Linked DNA regions of Cricetulus griseus. The main gene of each other region encodes a partner of the protein of the gene in region 2 in a complex. Links are inferred from orthologs where the notes say so. Each region holds a gene or a part of one and is shown on either strand. Other genes may lie near its edges. The genes, in order: Ednrb, Edn1 and Ednra.

Region 1 (4,326 bases), on a different chromosome or scaffold from region 2:
CACCTCATCAGTGACTTAAATCAGGGCTGATAGCAAGGTATCCTGTGACAGGTCATCCAAGTAATTTAATTAAATACAATGAGTACATAGTGGCCAATAAATAGTGGCCACTGTTGTTGCCTCAAACTACACCAAGGCAGGATTTGTAGGAGCTCATGTTGACACTCATAGCTGTGGGACCCAAGTTTCAGATCAATTTAGATGACTACCTGTTTAGTTTTATAATGACTCATCAGTTTGTTCCAGAAGTAAAAACACAGCTTTAGTACACTGAATAGCTTCGGGGTAAAGGATGTAACTTCCCAGGGAAATAATAGAGGGACTTGGAAGGAAACACACATGCTCAGTCAGATGTTCTAAGGGTTATGGAAGTAGTCATTTCACCAGACAGAAAGTAGAGAGGTCTCAGAAGAGTCAATGTCTATCTGGTCTGGTGGCAACACAAGGGAAGAAAATGTTCTTAGCCCTGCCTTCCACACAACCATGCAATGGCTGGCTGCTGTCAGGAGGTTTCTAATTTGGTTGAATGTATAGGTCAGTTGAGGCTGCTCCAAATAGAACTTCCATTGATTTTCTGTGCATACCTAGCAGAAGTACAATATGCTCTCGACTATGGAGAGGAATCTTGACTCAGCTAAGTTAAAATTTCCCACACTTTCCACTGTAAAGTGTCTCAGCCACCACAGAAAGCCCTAACTTGCCACTCTGTAAGAAGCAAGTGGGTCGCTTCATATCCCACCAGAGCTGTGACTGCACCTAAGAAACTTTTCAGGCTGTGTCTCCAGGCAAACGCTCAGAGTCTGTCAAAAGCGTTTGCTGTCCCAGATTTTTTTTTTTGCAGTTCTTCTTTGTATTTCTGTTAGCACTTCCCTTCAGGGTCTGGATCCTAATCTATGTCCCATCTCTAAGCCTCAGAAATGTCTGGAATTCCCTTAAAATGTGGCTACTGGGATTAGGCTTCCCAGAGAACGATGAAGGGAAATGTCAAGGGTTGCCTTGTGATAACGACTCATGTCACTTAGGTTGTAGTACGTTCCCTAACCTAACACTGTCTTCCCATTGAGTAGAGGCCAGGGTAGGCCTTCAGCAAGTCCGCCATGCACAGTCTCATTCCTTTACGCCAAGGCTGTTTTATGTGTGACTCTCTATTGCTAACAATGGGAAGCAGTGCTATATGTTTGCACAACTCTAAACATCCCTGGCCCTTTCATTTGGTCAGTTTTTGTTAACATCACAAATTCACCATAGGTGGGCACTGGAAGCTTTCTTGGGAAATGGAAGAAAATGAGAGCCACAGGTGCCAGGACATGTCCTAACTTCCAAAACTACCTGAAGTCAACACTGTGGATGTTGACTACCTGTTTAGTTTTATAAGGAAGAACAAGTCCTGCCTTGTTCTCTGAGCCCATTTCTTCTGACAACTGTGGAAATCATAGCAATTTTAACTATTGAAATTTTTATTGACCTTATTACAGAGTTCTCCTCTGTCTTGTCCATGAAGTAAGCGGAGATAATATCAGGAAGCTTACATTTGGGAACCAGGCATCCTGGACCCTGATCTCCACCTCTACCTCACGGGGGGCCCTTGAGCATCTTATTAATCATGATTAAAACGGCAATAACTGTCTATTGGTGGGTTGCTGGAGTGGATAAAAGAAGCAACACGTGTAACTCAATAGTTGGACCAGGCCATTTATTTCATCAAGACTATCCAAGGCTACTTGCAGCAAGGAATTGGAGTTTCACTGACTTACCAGTCTGGGCCTCTTTCACCCAAACCATTAGTTTTCTAAATCCTTACTGGACCGCTGCTTTCCTGGCCCTCAAAACAAAGCCCTCTACAATTACCTTGCCCTTCAATCATCTGTGTGTCATAAGTTTGGGGAAGATTTGCATTCCTGACAAACTCCCAGTTTGTGGACCATACTTTCAGGAAGCTGTACCTAGAAAGGCTGACGAAGGGACTTGTGATTCTCACACGTTAAATTTTGTCACAGTTACATAGAAAGGATTTTAAAAATATATAACTGTCTCGCAACTACTCCAGAGCCTGTGATTCAGTATGCCTGGGTTGGGAGCCTGGATTCTTCTTTCTAATAATAATAACAACAGTGTTACTGCTCAGAAAGCTACACTTGTCAGAGGCTAAGAAAAAACCCAGAAGAAAATCTGGTTCAATAGTCACTAGGAGGAGAGGAGCAGTGTACCTCAGGAAGCTCTTCCCGGTACTTTAACTTTAACGGTGGTTCCACTTACCCCCCACCCCTGTCCCGCTTCCAGCCCCTCAGATCAGGGGCATTACCTTGTAGACATTAATGGGGATGTCGATGATGATGTGTAGCAGATCTCCCAGAGCCAGACTGGCGATCAGGATGTTGGGACCATTTCGCATGCACTTGTTCTTGTAGATGATCCTCAGCAGCGTGGAGTTCCCGATGATGCCCAGCACGAACACGAGACAGGACACAATCGTGTTGATGTATTTAAAAGTCTTGCTGATCTCACTATTTCGCTGGCACGGAGGAGGGAAGGATCTTGGCGGGACTCCAGCCACCCTCCCTCCTTTGGTCACCTCCGCAGGTGCTGAGGAACGCGTCAGACTGGAGTTAGAACCTTTCGTCCAGGAGGTCTTGGTGGGTGGTGTCATTACCTCTCTAGTCCCCAGAAGAGACGGTGTGGCTTGGGCAGGTGGGAATCCTCTTTCCTCTCCCCAAACTCCCAACAAGCCACAGGCCAGCAGCAGCGCCACCAAGGCGCGTCCGCACTGGCTTGCCGGCGGATGCATGTTACAGCTTGCTCCAGTGGGAGTCCGGTAGCCGCTCCGCTGCTTTCAGTCTAGAGACCAACAGGGGAATGAAGGCAGGGCACTTTTGTCAGCCACCCCAGCCACGCCTCTGCAAACACTCACACTAGCCCTGTCGCCACTACCCGCGCAGCAGTAACTTCAGTTTGCGCGCCAATGGGGAACTTGGGCGCGCGCCACCCGCTCGCCCGCATCCAGTCTCCTTCCTGACCCTGCTCGCTGTGTTTTAATCCCCAGCTCCTGGCCCTGCGGTAGACCAGTCGCGGTGGGGCGGAGCATTCCGGCAGGGGTGTTCCAGACAGGGGAGGCTGGGTGTCCCAGGGAAAGAACACTGGTGTTTGCCGGGAAGAAGCAAGACCGTTTTAGCTAAGCTTCAGGACCCAGAATGAAGAAGGCACCTAGCGGCCAAGGGCATGCATCAATGCACTCAGCACGAACTGAGAGAATGTCAGCATCAACTTTTGTGTTTTCTAAGTGACTTCATTCAGTCGCATTTCAACCCAATCTCAGTGTGAATCGCAGCTATGTGTAATTTTACTTATTTTAAAGTCTCCAAACTGTTAGAGCAAGGTCCAGTCTCACATATTTTAATTTCAACACTAACCCAGAATGATTAGTTATCTAGCAGGAATTGGAAGCCCCAGGCTCAACCACCAGCAGGGAACCTCCTATCCGGGTCATCGAACCGCCTAGGGGGCTTGCAGCTCGCAGAGGGATCCCATCTGCTCCTTCAGCTGCAGGCAGCTCTGGCTCTGACCAAGGCTGAGAGAGCGCCAGACAGGATCCTCAGCAGCTCACTGGGGTCGCTGCTGTCCCCAGACAAGTACTTTTATTCATTCGTCCCTTCCCCAGCATCAATCACCCTCAGACTCCTCCCGAGTTTTCTGAGCGACCCTGCCAAAACCTTTCCCCTTGGGCGATGCCTGGACAGTATCAGCCTCAGCTGCCCACTGGAAGGGGCAGTCCTCACTGTGCCCCACGCGAAACTGTTTATTTGCGGTTTAACTATGTAAGATCCTACGTATCCCATGGCACTCTGGGGGCTGGAGATTAGGACAAGGCTGTGTTAATCTGACTTTGAATATCCTGACTTCTCACAGAAATGTCCCCTAGTGATGCTTGAAATCTGCTTGGTCTGGGGGAGTTGCCTTTCATTTCTTTCTTTGCCCTTAAGTTTCACGTCAACAGGAAGGGCCAGGATCATTTCTCCTCAGGCGGAGGGATTGCCCAAAGCAAGAAGGAGTGAAAGACATCCTTCACTGTGTGCAAGTGTAGCTCTTCCTGGGTACTGAACTGTCGCCAAGCCCCTACAGGGATCTTTCTACGGAGCCTAAAAGGGACCCGAGACAAGAGACAGGAAAATAATCAGGAAGCAGACTCGCAAATTCAACCTGATGCTTATTTCACCAGACAGCAACGAAACAAATTCTTCCTGTCCACTCTTGAGCTCGGTCTTTCAGGCACAGAAGGGAATGCTACTAAGCTGCCTGTTTGCTCAAAGCTAAGAGGTGCGGGTGCTGTCG
Region 2 (3,720 bases):
CAATATGGCCTGCCCAGACATATATTCAACATGGTAAATATAAGGAATAAATTGTTTGAATATAAATATCTATAAAAAAATAAGTACATCAAATTCAATCTAACCTTTTCCATTAGCCAGTTACATACAGGAACAAACTTTTACTGCTATATAGCACAACCAGCTCTCCAGATCTTTCACAAGCAACTCTATGCCATTCATTGTATCTCCCAAGGTCAAGGGCAGGGGCCAGAGTCCGTCATCCTTTTTCTCATAGATCAGGGTTAGCAGATTAGCATGGAAATGTTTCATCTACTACTGACTGACACATTAGACTAGACTTCTATGAGGCGAGGATTCAGTAAAGGGGATGGGGAGCCTGGTGGCAGGAGAGGAGGGAGTACAGGGAGGCAATAATTAGGTAGGGAATAATAACAGTAGGGAATATATATGACAGTGCAGTAAGGTGAGGTAGACTCATATTCATGAAACACATCCTAATGTACAGTAGTAACAGTTGCTTTGAGTTTTGAATTTTACAACTTAAAAAAAATCTTTGTCCTTTTTTTCTTTTTTTTTTTTTTTAAAAACTCAAGTGTTTGTCCTTTGAGTATGTTTTCAATTTGTACATTCCTCAGAAAATTTTTGCATGGACTTTGGAGTTTCTCCCTGAAATGTGCCAGGCGCCTGAGTCAGACACAAACACCCCCTAAGGACTTTCTTCAGAAACTCCACCCTGGTGTGGAATCTCCTTCCTCTCTGGACGATGCCACCCTAGAATGTCATCATGTCTCTGCTCTCTGAGAGGTCCGCTGGCATTCCCAAACAGCGAGAAGGGGCGAAAAGCAGTCACTACCAGCAGAAGCAAATGAAGACAGGTTGGGGAACATCTCAACCTCTCTTGGAATGTTTGGAACAGAGATACTGGTCCCTTGCCAGTCTGAAACTAGAAACTGTAGAAGTGGGATGGATGTTCTTTTTGAGAACCCAGCCAGCATGGAGAGTGCAGAGTTGGCCATGGGCTTGCTCTATGGACTTGACGGCTTCCAAAACACAGGGAAGCTCGGTAGTCAGTGTGCTCGGTTGTGTGTCAACTTCTGGTCTCTATAGAGATCAGCTTTCAACTTTGCAACACGAAAAGATGTCTTGATGCTATTGGTGATGGCCTCCAACCTATTAAAACAAGACAAGAGAAAATAAATGTTACTTAAGCACATACACAAAGAAAGAAATCACTCCTTGGCTAAGGAAACATCTAAATTTAGAATTTGACACAAACACATTAATTCTAGTTCCTAGCCTTTTATAAGGTGTGACAGTGTGTTACTCTTTGATAAATCCTCAAGCAGTATCTATGACTACTGAGAATAAACCCTGCCATTTCTGCCTAGTATTGCAGAGAGGGATCCTATGAGCAGCCTAAGAGGACTCTGGTACTAAATACTATGTTTGAACAGCTCCAACCTCTGCTTCTGTGGAGAAGTGGCACATTGGCACCTTCTAAATCATATAAGAAATGGAAGTTAGCAGGTGGATGGAAAGAAGAATAAGGGAATAGTTGATAACAGTTGAAAATGTATAATTTAATGTAATTTAATGTGTGTGTGTGTGTGTGTGTGTGTGTGTGTGTGTGTGTGTGTGTGTGTGTGTGTTTATGAGACAGAACAGATGAAGAACTGTAGCATCAAGTTAGTAGTTGATATCAGACAAAGTAACAAACTGGTACTGGTCTTCAGGTAACTCAGCAACTGTGACCTAGTGGAGAGCAAACCCAAGGTGGCAGGGGTGAAGGGAGCTAACTGTGGCCTTCCAGCACAGGAGCAGTAACCAGCTCTGCAGTCCCTCCCTGATGCCATACTGGGATCAGAACACTTTGGTCTCAGAACACCTTGCCCCTGGATTTCTTGGGAAAGCTTCTAGAGATAGGAGCATTGTGACAAGTCTGAACAAGAGTCCCTTAACACCCCCATCTTCTCAGTTTCAAAAGTTTAGACTCTGTAAGGATCATCAAAAAGCTTCTTGTAGCCCCCCTATGGGATTGCCTAATCCAGCTCTCTCCTGGGTCATAGGAAGCAAGAGAAGTGGCATGGCTCTTCCAATTTCCATATTTAAGCAATGGTAATGGAATAAACCTGAAAAACAGCATGTTCTAAATCTCACCAACCTTACCTAATGGCTTTATTTTCCTTTGGCCATTTGAATAATTAACTGCTACGTTTTGGGTAATACATGTAAATATTTTTCAATGTCTTTTTCCTTGACCCGATTTTTTAGCTTCTTGAGGCAAGCAGAACATAAAAACCAGAGAAGAAAAGCCTGGATATGTTCAAATTCCAAAGCCTCCTCTCAGTGTGGTCCACCTATAGGCCAGTGTGTGCTAAGACACAAGGGGCAGGTGTCTGCACTCAAGGCCCGAGTATTTGAAGAGCCCTTTGCTCTTTTAAGTCCACAGACCACGACAATTTGGTCCTGTACAAGAGCCTTTTCCCACTAGGAAGGGAGGCATTAGCATTGCTGTCCAGGGCCAGTGGTCATCATGAGCCTCTTACCTTCTTATTTTTCTTTCTTCTACCAGTTGCTGGTTGATACACTTCTTGCCCAGCTTGGAACAGGCTTTTCTTTTCTTGAAGTCTTCTAAGCCTTTCTGCATGGTGTTTTGGGCTCTGGGTTAAGACACACAGGGAAAGCATTTTAGCAAGGGCACGTTGAGGCTCACCTTGACTCTCCAGGCCTCTGCTACTGTCTCTACAGTGAAAAGACAGTTTCATAGGAAGAAGGCCAGTGGGTTGCACAACTCTCTGACAGGTAGAGGGGCTTCTGCTCACCTGAGTTCTTTTCCTCCTTGGCAGAAATTCCAGCACTTCCTGTCTTTTTGCTGAGCACACTGACACCTATTCCCGTGGTCTGTGGTCTTTGGAGAAAGTAAGTCCTTCAGGGAACGCTTGGACCTGGAAGGGCTTCCCAGTCCATATGGAACAACACGCCTAATACAGAAAGAGAGAAGGAAAAGATATTAGCTTAATTAATAGTCTTTATTATAATAACACATTCTTTGGTCATACAACTCTGACAGCATTGGGACAGCTCATGATGGGAAAGTGTGGAAGCTATTTGGCATGTTTACCCTTCAGTGCCCCCCAGTGAATGTCCCCAAATGGAAGAACACAAGCTTCTTTTTTTTTTTTTCTCTAATTCAATGAAATTACAACACCTCTGTTTGGGTTTCTGCTTTGTGTTTTCTTCCTTTTCTAGCACGTGATATGGGTGGAAGAAGGAAAACTACGGGGCAGAAGCAAAACCATAACACAAGATTTTCTACTTCAGTCATGTGTGATGATAATGCCAGACATGCTATCTGGTGCATCAAGGCATACTGGGACAGTGCTCCTCAAGATTGGTAAAATCTCACTGAGTATGAAGGGCTTAGCGCCAAAATGCTACCCAAGCACTTGCAATGAATCCACTTCAGTTCTCACAGCAAGGAATGTCACCCTCTCCTTGGTAGAACCACAGCTAAAGATTAGGTCCACAGCGGTTTGGGTCTGGTTTGGTTTGGAATTTGGCCAGCCATTGTGGACAGAATAAATGTGTTTGTTCTTTCTTAGGATTGCTTCTGATGAGTGGACTAGTGTTGGGGGCCGAGGGTGAAATACCCTTGGTCCACTCAAAGGGAGAAGGGAAACCTATAGCTTGTGCTCCAGTCTCTGCCTTGAAATGAAGCTTTCTAATGACAAGGAGAGA
Region 3 (3,646 bases), about 110 Mb from region 2:
TCAAATTCATTTCCATTTTCCTATTCCTGATTGCCTGGTGCCCATCCCACATTCTCCCAGGGCTTTTGTCCTCCAGCTGAAACAGCTTTTGCCCTCTGCTTTCCCACACTTATCCGCACACTCCCCCATTTACAGACAATTTCTCCATAGTTGCATTTCATATATTCCCTGGCTTTGTGTTTTATGGCTACTTGGATTGCACTTCATCATTCTATTTTCTAATTGCTTGTATTGTATTTTATTCTACAACTAGACTACAAAGCCCGCAAGGAAATGTGGTCGTATGCATCTTTCTGTCCTGGCACAGTCACAAGCCCATTTCAGTGCATCCATGCACACATGCTCGGTACACTTTTTGACAAAATAAGCACAAGTTAACTGTCTTTAAGCCCAGCCTCCCAGGGCCATCTGGTTCACAGGCAGGATTCCCACTCCCCACAAGGAATTCCTAAGACTATATAAAGAAAACAGCTACAAGAGAACATTTTTATTTTTAGAAAATTAGCATAAATCTGTTACATACGACATAGTCATGTGCCGCTCAAAAACACAGATATGTTTTGAAAAAATGTGTAGCTAGGCAATTTCAACACTGTGCAAACACCAGAGTGTACAAGCACACTGCTGGATGGTATTTTCTACCTCCCAGTCAGCTGTGTGGTCCAGCGTGTTGCTCCTAGACTACACATCTGTCTAACATATTACTGTACCGGATAGCGTAGGCAATTGTAACACACTGGCATTTGCCTATCACAATATATCTTAGCATGGAAAAGATACTGTAAAATATGCGAGGCGATGAAGTTTTTCAGTTCCACTTTAAACTTACGGAGACACAGTCATTTGTGCAGTTGCAGCTGACTGTGATGCTTGTAGAAGCAAGGGGCTTGCTGATTTCAAAGCGGCCTCAACCAAGTTCTCGGGAGCTGTGGAGATTTACCTGCTTGAGGTGTTCACTGAGAGCAATCCGCAAGCTGCCATTCCTTCTGTTGAGCATCTCACAGGTCATGAGGGTGTAGAAGATTGCTGTGCACACCAAGGGCATGCAGAAGTAGAACCCGAAAAGCCACCAGTCCTTCACATCTTGGTAAAACTGTTCAGTGAGGAAAAGGGAAGAGAGGTGCTGAAACATAAGCTGCCTGTGCAGTACCCTGCCTGCTCACAGTCCCTGAGATTGTAGATGCAGTCACATATATCCTCTTTGACGGAAGTAAAGAGCTTGCATTGTGCTCAGTTTTTTAATTTTTATTTTTCAGCACTGGATCATGCCTAGTAGGGCTTTGCAGTAACTAGGAAAGTGCTGTCCTCTAAGCTGTAACATATGAAGACATGTGTATTAAAGTTATCCAATTATCCCTCCAAGGGTGCTTCTGAGAGCTCTGAGCTCATTTCTATTACACAATGGAGGAGCTCTAATCAGTGCAGAGTCTCCTCTTGAAGTTCATACAATGGGATCTGAGACTTCATCTTTGTTTATTGCTGATAAGATCGGCTGACTCTTTGATATGTGTGGTTAAAGTGTGCTTAATGTGGGTATCTCATGTAGGGACACTGAAGGCTATCAGTGAATGGCTGATCTGTGGCTGAGGTTAGTGGGACTTGACCCTTTGCCTGGTATGCCTGCTATGTGACCCCAGAGTCAGCCAGCTCAGTTATCAACAACTCCTCTCTCTCTCTCTCTCTCTCTCTCTCTCTCTCTCTCTCTCTCTCTCTCAGTACTTGCCACCTGGAAACTACTGAGTGGGGATATTCTAGCTATAGCTAAGGGCTGACTTGGTACTCTCTCTCTCTGTGGGCAAGGATTTATACAATTCCATATTGTTCAGTTTTCTGTCTTAAAAAACTATTTTTATTTTATGTGCATTCGTGTTTTACCTGCATGTATGTGTCAGGATGTCAGATTCCCTGGAACTGGAGTTACAGACAGTTGTGAGCTTCAATGAGGGTACTGGGAACTGAACCCAGGTCCTCTGGCACAGCAGTCAGTGCTCTTAACCACTGAGCTATCTCTCCAGCCCCCAGTTTTCTGTCTTTTTAAAGGAGGATAAAAATGAAAGTTGAACAACACTACTCAAATGCTTTCCCGAATTAACCCTGAACTTGGGAAGGTATGCTCTTTACTTCCTTATGCTCCTTCTCCAGACTGTTTATTTACTGAGGGTGCCGTAGCCTTCTGTTCCCGAAAATATGACCACCCTGTTCCCTGAGTACTGGCAGTTTCTGTGCATGGAAAGGAACCCTTTATGTCTAATTAAGTCATCTAAAAGTGGTTCCAGAAGACAAACATTCAAGCAAGGCTTCATAACAGTTAAATACCACAGAACCCTCAGAAATCTGGTGAACACGAGAATTCCTTCTGAGAACAATATGGTGTGTGTGCTTGAATGTGTGTGTGTGTGTGTGTGTGTGTGTGTGTGTGCTCATGTGTGCATGGGCAAGACCTTAGGTATCATTCTTCAGGAGACATCTCCCTTGTTTTTTGAGGCAGGTTCTCCCACTGAGACCTAGGGCTGGCCAGTTTGGCTAGGCTATCTGGATAATGCCTGTGACCTGTAGTCCTTTGCCTTCCCAGCACTGGTTTTACAAGCCTATGCCATCATGCCCAGCTTTTTACATGGATTCTGGGGGATTGAACTTTATTATTTTATCAACTGATAAAATTCCCAGACATCAGCATTATATTTTAATAAGGACAAAGTTAAATGTATGTGGTTACAATGGAAACCAATTGCATTGAAATGGAGCTATCAAAATACTGAAAATAAAATTCTGATAAAGATATGTCTTCATCACCAAATTGCATAGCATACTCTGTGAGTTCGAGGCCAGCCTGGTCTCCAGAGCGAGTGCCAGGATAGGCTCCAAAGCTACACAGAGAAACCCTGTCTTGAAAAACAAACAAACAAACAAACAAACAAACAAGGAAAGTCAGAGGAGACTATACATTCCAGGGGGAATTTAGTAAAAATAAAAAACTAACCACATTTTCTTTCCCATCCAAGTTCCCAGACCCCTGAAATCTATCCCAGATTAAATACAAACTCCCAAATGAGTTTGTTTCTTCAGATTGTTAAAAAAAACCTCCCCTAGTCCATCCCATTGTAGAAGGATATCTGTCTGGAACTTAAAAAAAAAATCCAGACTCCCTCCTTGTTTGGAAGTATAGTACAAACATCCTGTGAGGCTTTCCCCAGCCCTCCACCCCCTCGCACACCCCACTTTTGTATCCTTTCCCCACAGAATTGCAGGCTGAGGGGGTATAGCCTAGAAGCACCTGCCTAGGGTTTGGAAGGTGACCCGGGACTGAGCTGGATGGAGTATCCCTTCCATGACCGAAGCCTACTGAGAAAGGGGCTACACGGTTGTTTTTGACTGACATCATCAGCTGGGGAGTGGAAAAGGCCCTGGGACAGGAAGGGCATTGGGGCAGTCTAGTGTAGAGCACAGCTGAAGAGAGGAGCATGAAAGGAGACAGGAAGTTATATCAGAAAAAGGTGTATCCAGACTTGGAATAGATGCTGAAACCTCACCAGTTTGACTCACACCCTTCATTGCAACCCATAGCCACCCCTGCCAGTACTTCGCTCCCTCTCTCAAACCCTTGCCTCGATATCTCAGGCTTTATGACGTCACTTGTTCCATGTTG

What was found.
Region 1: the proteins of Edn1 (region 2) and Ednrb are in contact, whole or in part, in a cryo-EM structure (PDB 8XWP), measured with the Homo sapiens proteins. The link is inferred for Cricetulus griseus from reciprocal best matches to the Homo sapiens genes EDN1 and EDNRB. Residues at the interface, in NP_001403492.1 of Homo sapiens: Cys53, Ser54, Cys55, Ser56, Ser57, Leu58, Glu62, Cys63, Val64, Tyr65, Phe66, Cys67, His68, Leu69, Asp70, Ile71, Ile72, Trp73; in NP_000106.1 of Homo sapiens: Pro88, Pro89, Ile94, Glu95, Ile157, Asn158, Lys161, Glu165, Asp166, Trp167, Val177, Pro178, Gln181, Lys182, Val185, Phe240, Ile243, Met245, Tyr247, Leu252, Ile254, Leu256, Leu257, His258, Pro259, Lys270, Lys273, Leu277, Trp336, Leu339.
Region 3: the proteins of Edn1 (region 2) and Ednra are in contact, whole or in part, in a cryo-EM structure (PDB 8HCQ), measured with the Homo sapiens proteins. The link is inferred for Cricetulus griseus from reciprocal best matches to the Homo sapiens genes EDN1 and EDNRA. Residues at the interface, in NP_001403492.1 of Homo sapiens: Cys53, Ser54, Leu58, Asp60, Lys61, Glu62, Cys63, Val64, Tyr65, Phe66, Cys67, His68, Leu69, Asp70, Ile71, Ile72, Trp73; in NP_001948.1 of Homo sapiens: Tyr68, Gln72, Thr73, Lys74, Tyr129, Asp133, Ile136, Asn137, Lys140, Leu141, Gly144, Arg145, Trp146, Gln165, Lys166, Val169, Glu220, Phe224, Val227, Phe229, Tyr231, His236, Lys237, Thr238, Cys239, Met240, Leu241, Asn242, Gln252, Lys255.

Annotation. Positions count from the first base shown.
Region 1 is NW_023276807.1:255,426,109-255,430,434, forward strand, and holds the start of Ednrb (endothelin receptor type B), read right to left. Parts: upstream 2,819-4,326; 5' UTR 2,786-2,818; coding exon 2,303-2,785; intron 1-2,302. UniProt on the Homo sapiens protein: Non-specific receptor for endothelin 1, 2, and 3. Mediates its action by association with G proteins that activate a phosphatidylinositol-calcium second messenger system.
Region 2 is NC_048596.1:261,973,971-261,977,690, reverse strand, and holds the end of Edn1 (endothelin-1), read right to left. Parts: intron 2,964-3,720; coding exon 2,805-2,963; intron 2,643-2,804; coding exon 2,529-2,642; intron 1,153-2,528; coding exon 1,050-1,152; 3' UTR 513-1,049; downstream 1-512. UniProt on the Homo sapiens protein: Endothelins are endothelium-derived vasoconstrictor peptides. Probable ligand for G-protein coupled receptors EDNRA and EDNRB which activates PTK2B, BCAR1, BCAR3 and, GTPases RAP1 and RHOA cascade in glomerular mesangial cells.
Region 3 is NC_048596.1:153,440,913-153,444,558, forward strand, and holds part of Ednra (endothelin-1 receptor), read right to left. Parts: intron 1,094-3,646; coding exon 941-1,093; intron 1-940. UniProt on the Homo sapiens protein: Receptor for endothelin-1. Mediates its action by association with G proteins that activate a phosphatidylinositol-calcium second messenger system. The rank order of binding affinities for ET-A is: ET1 > ET2 >> ET3.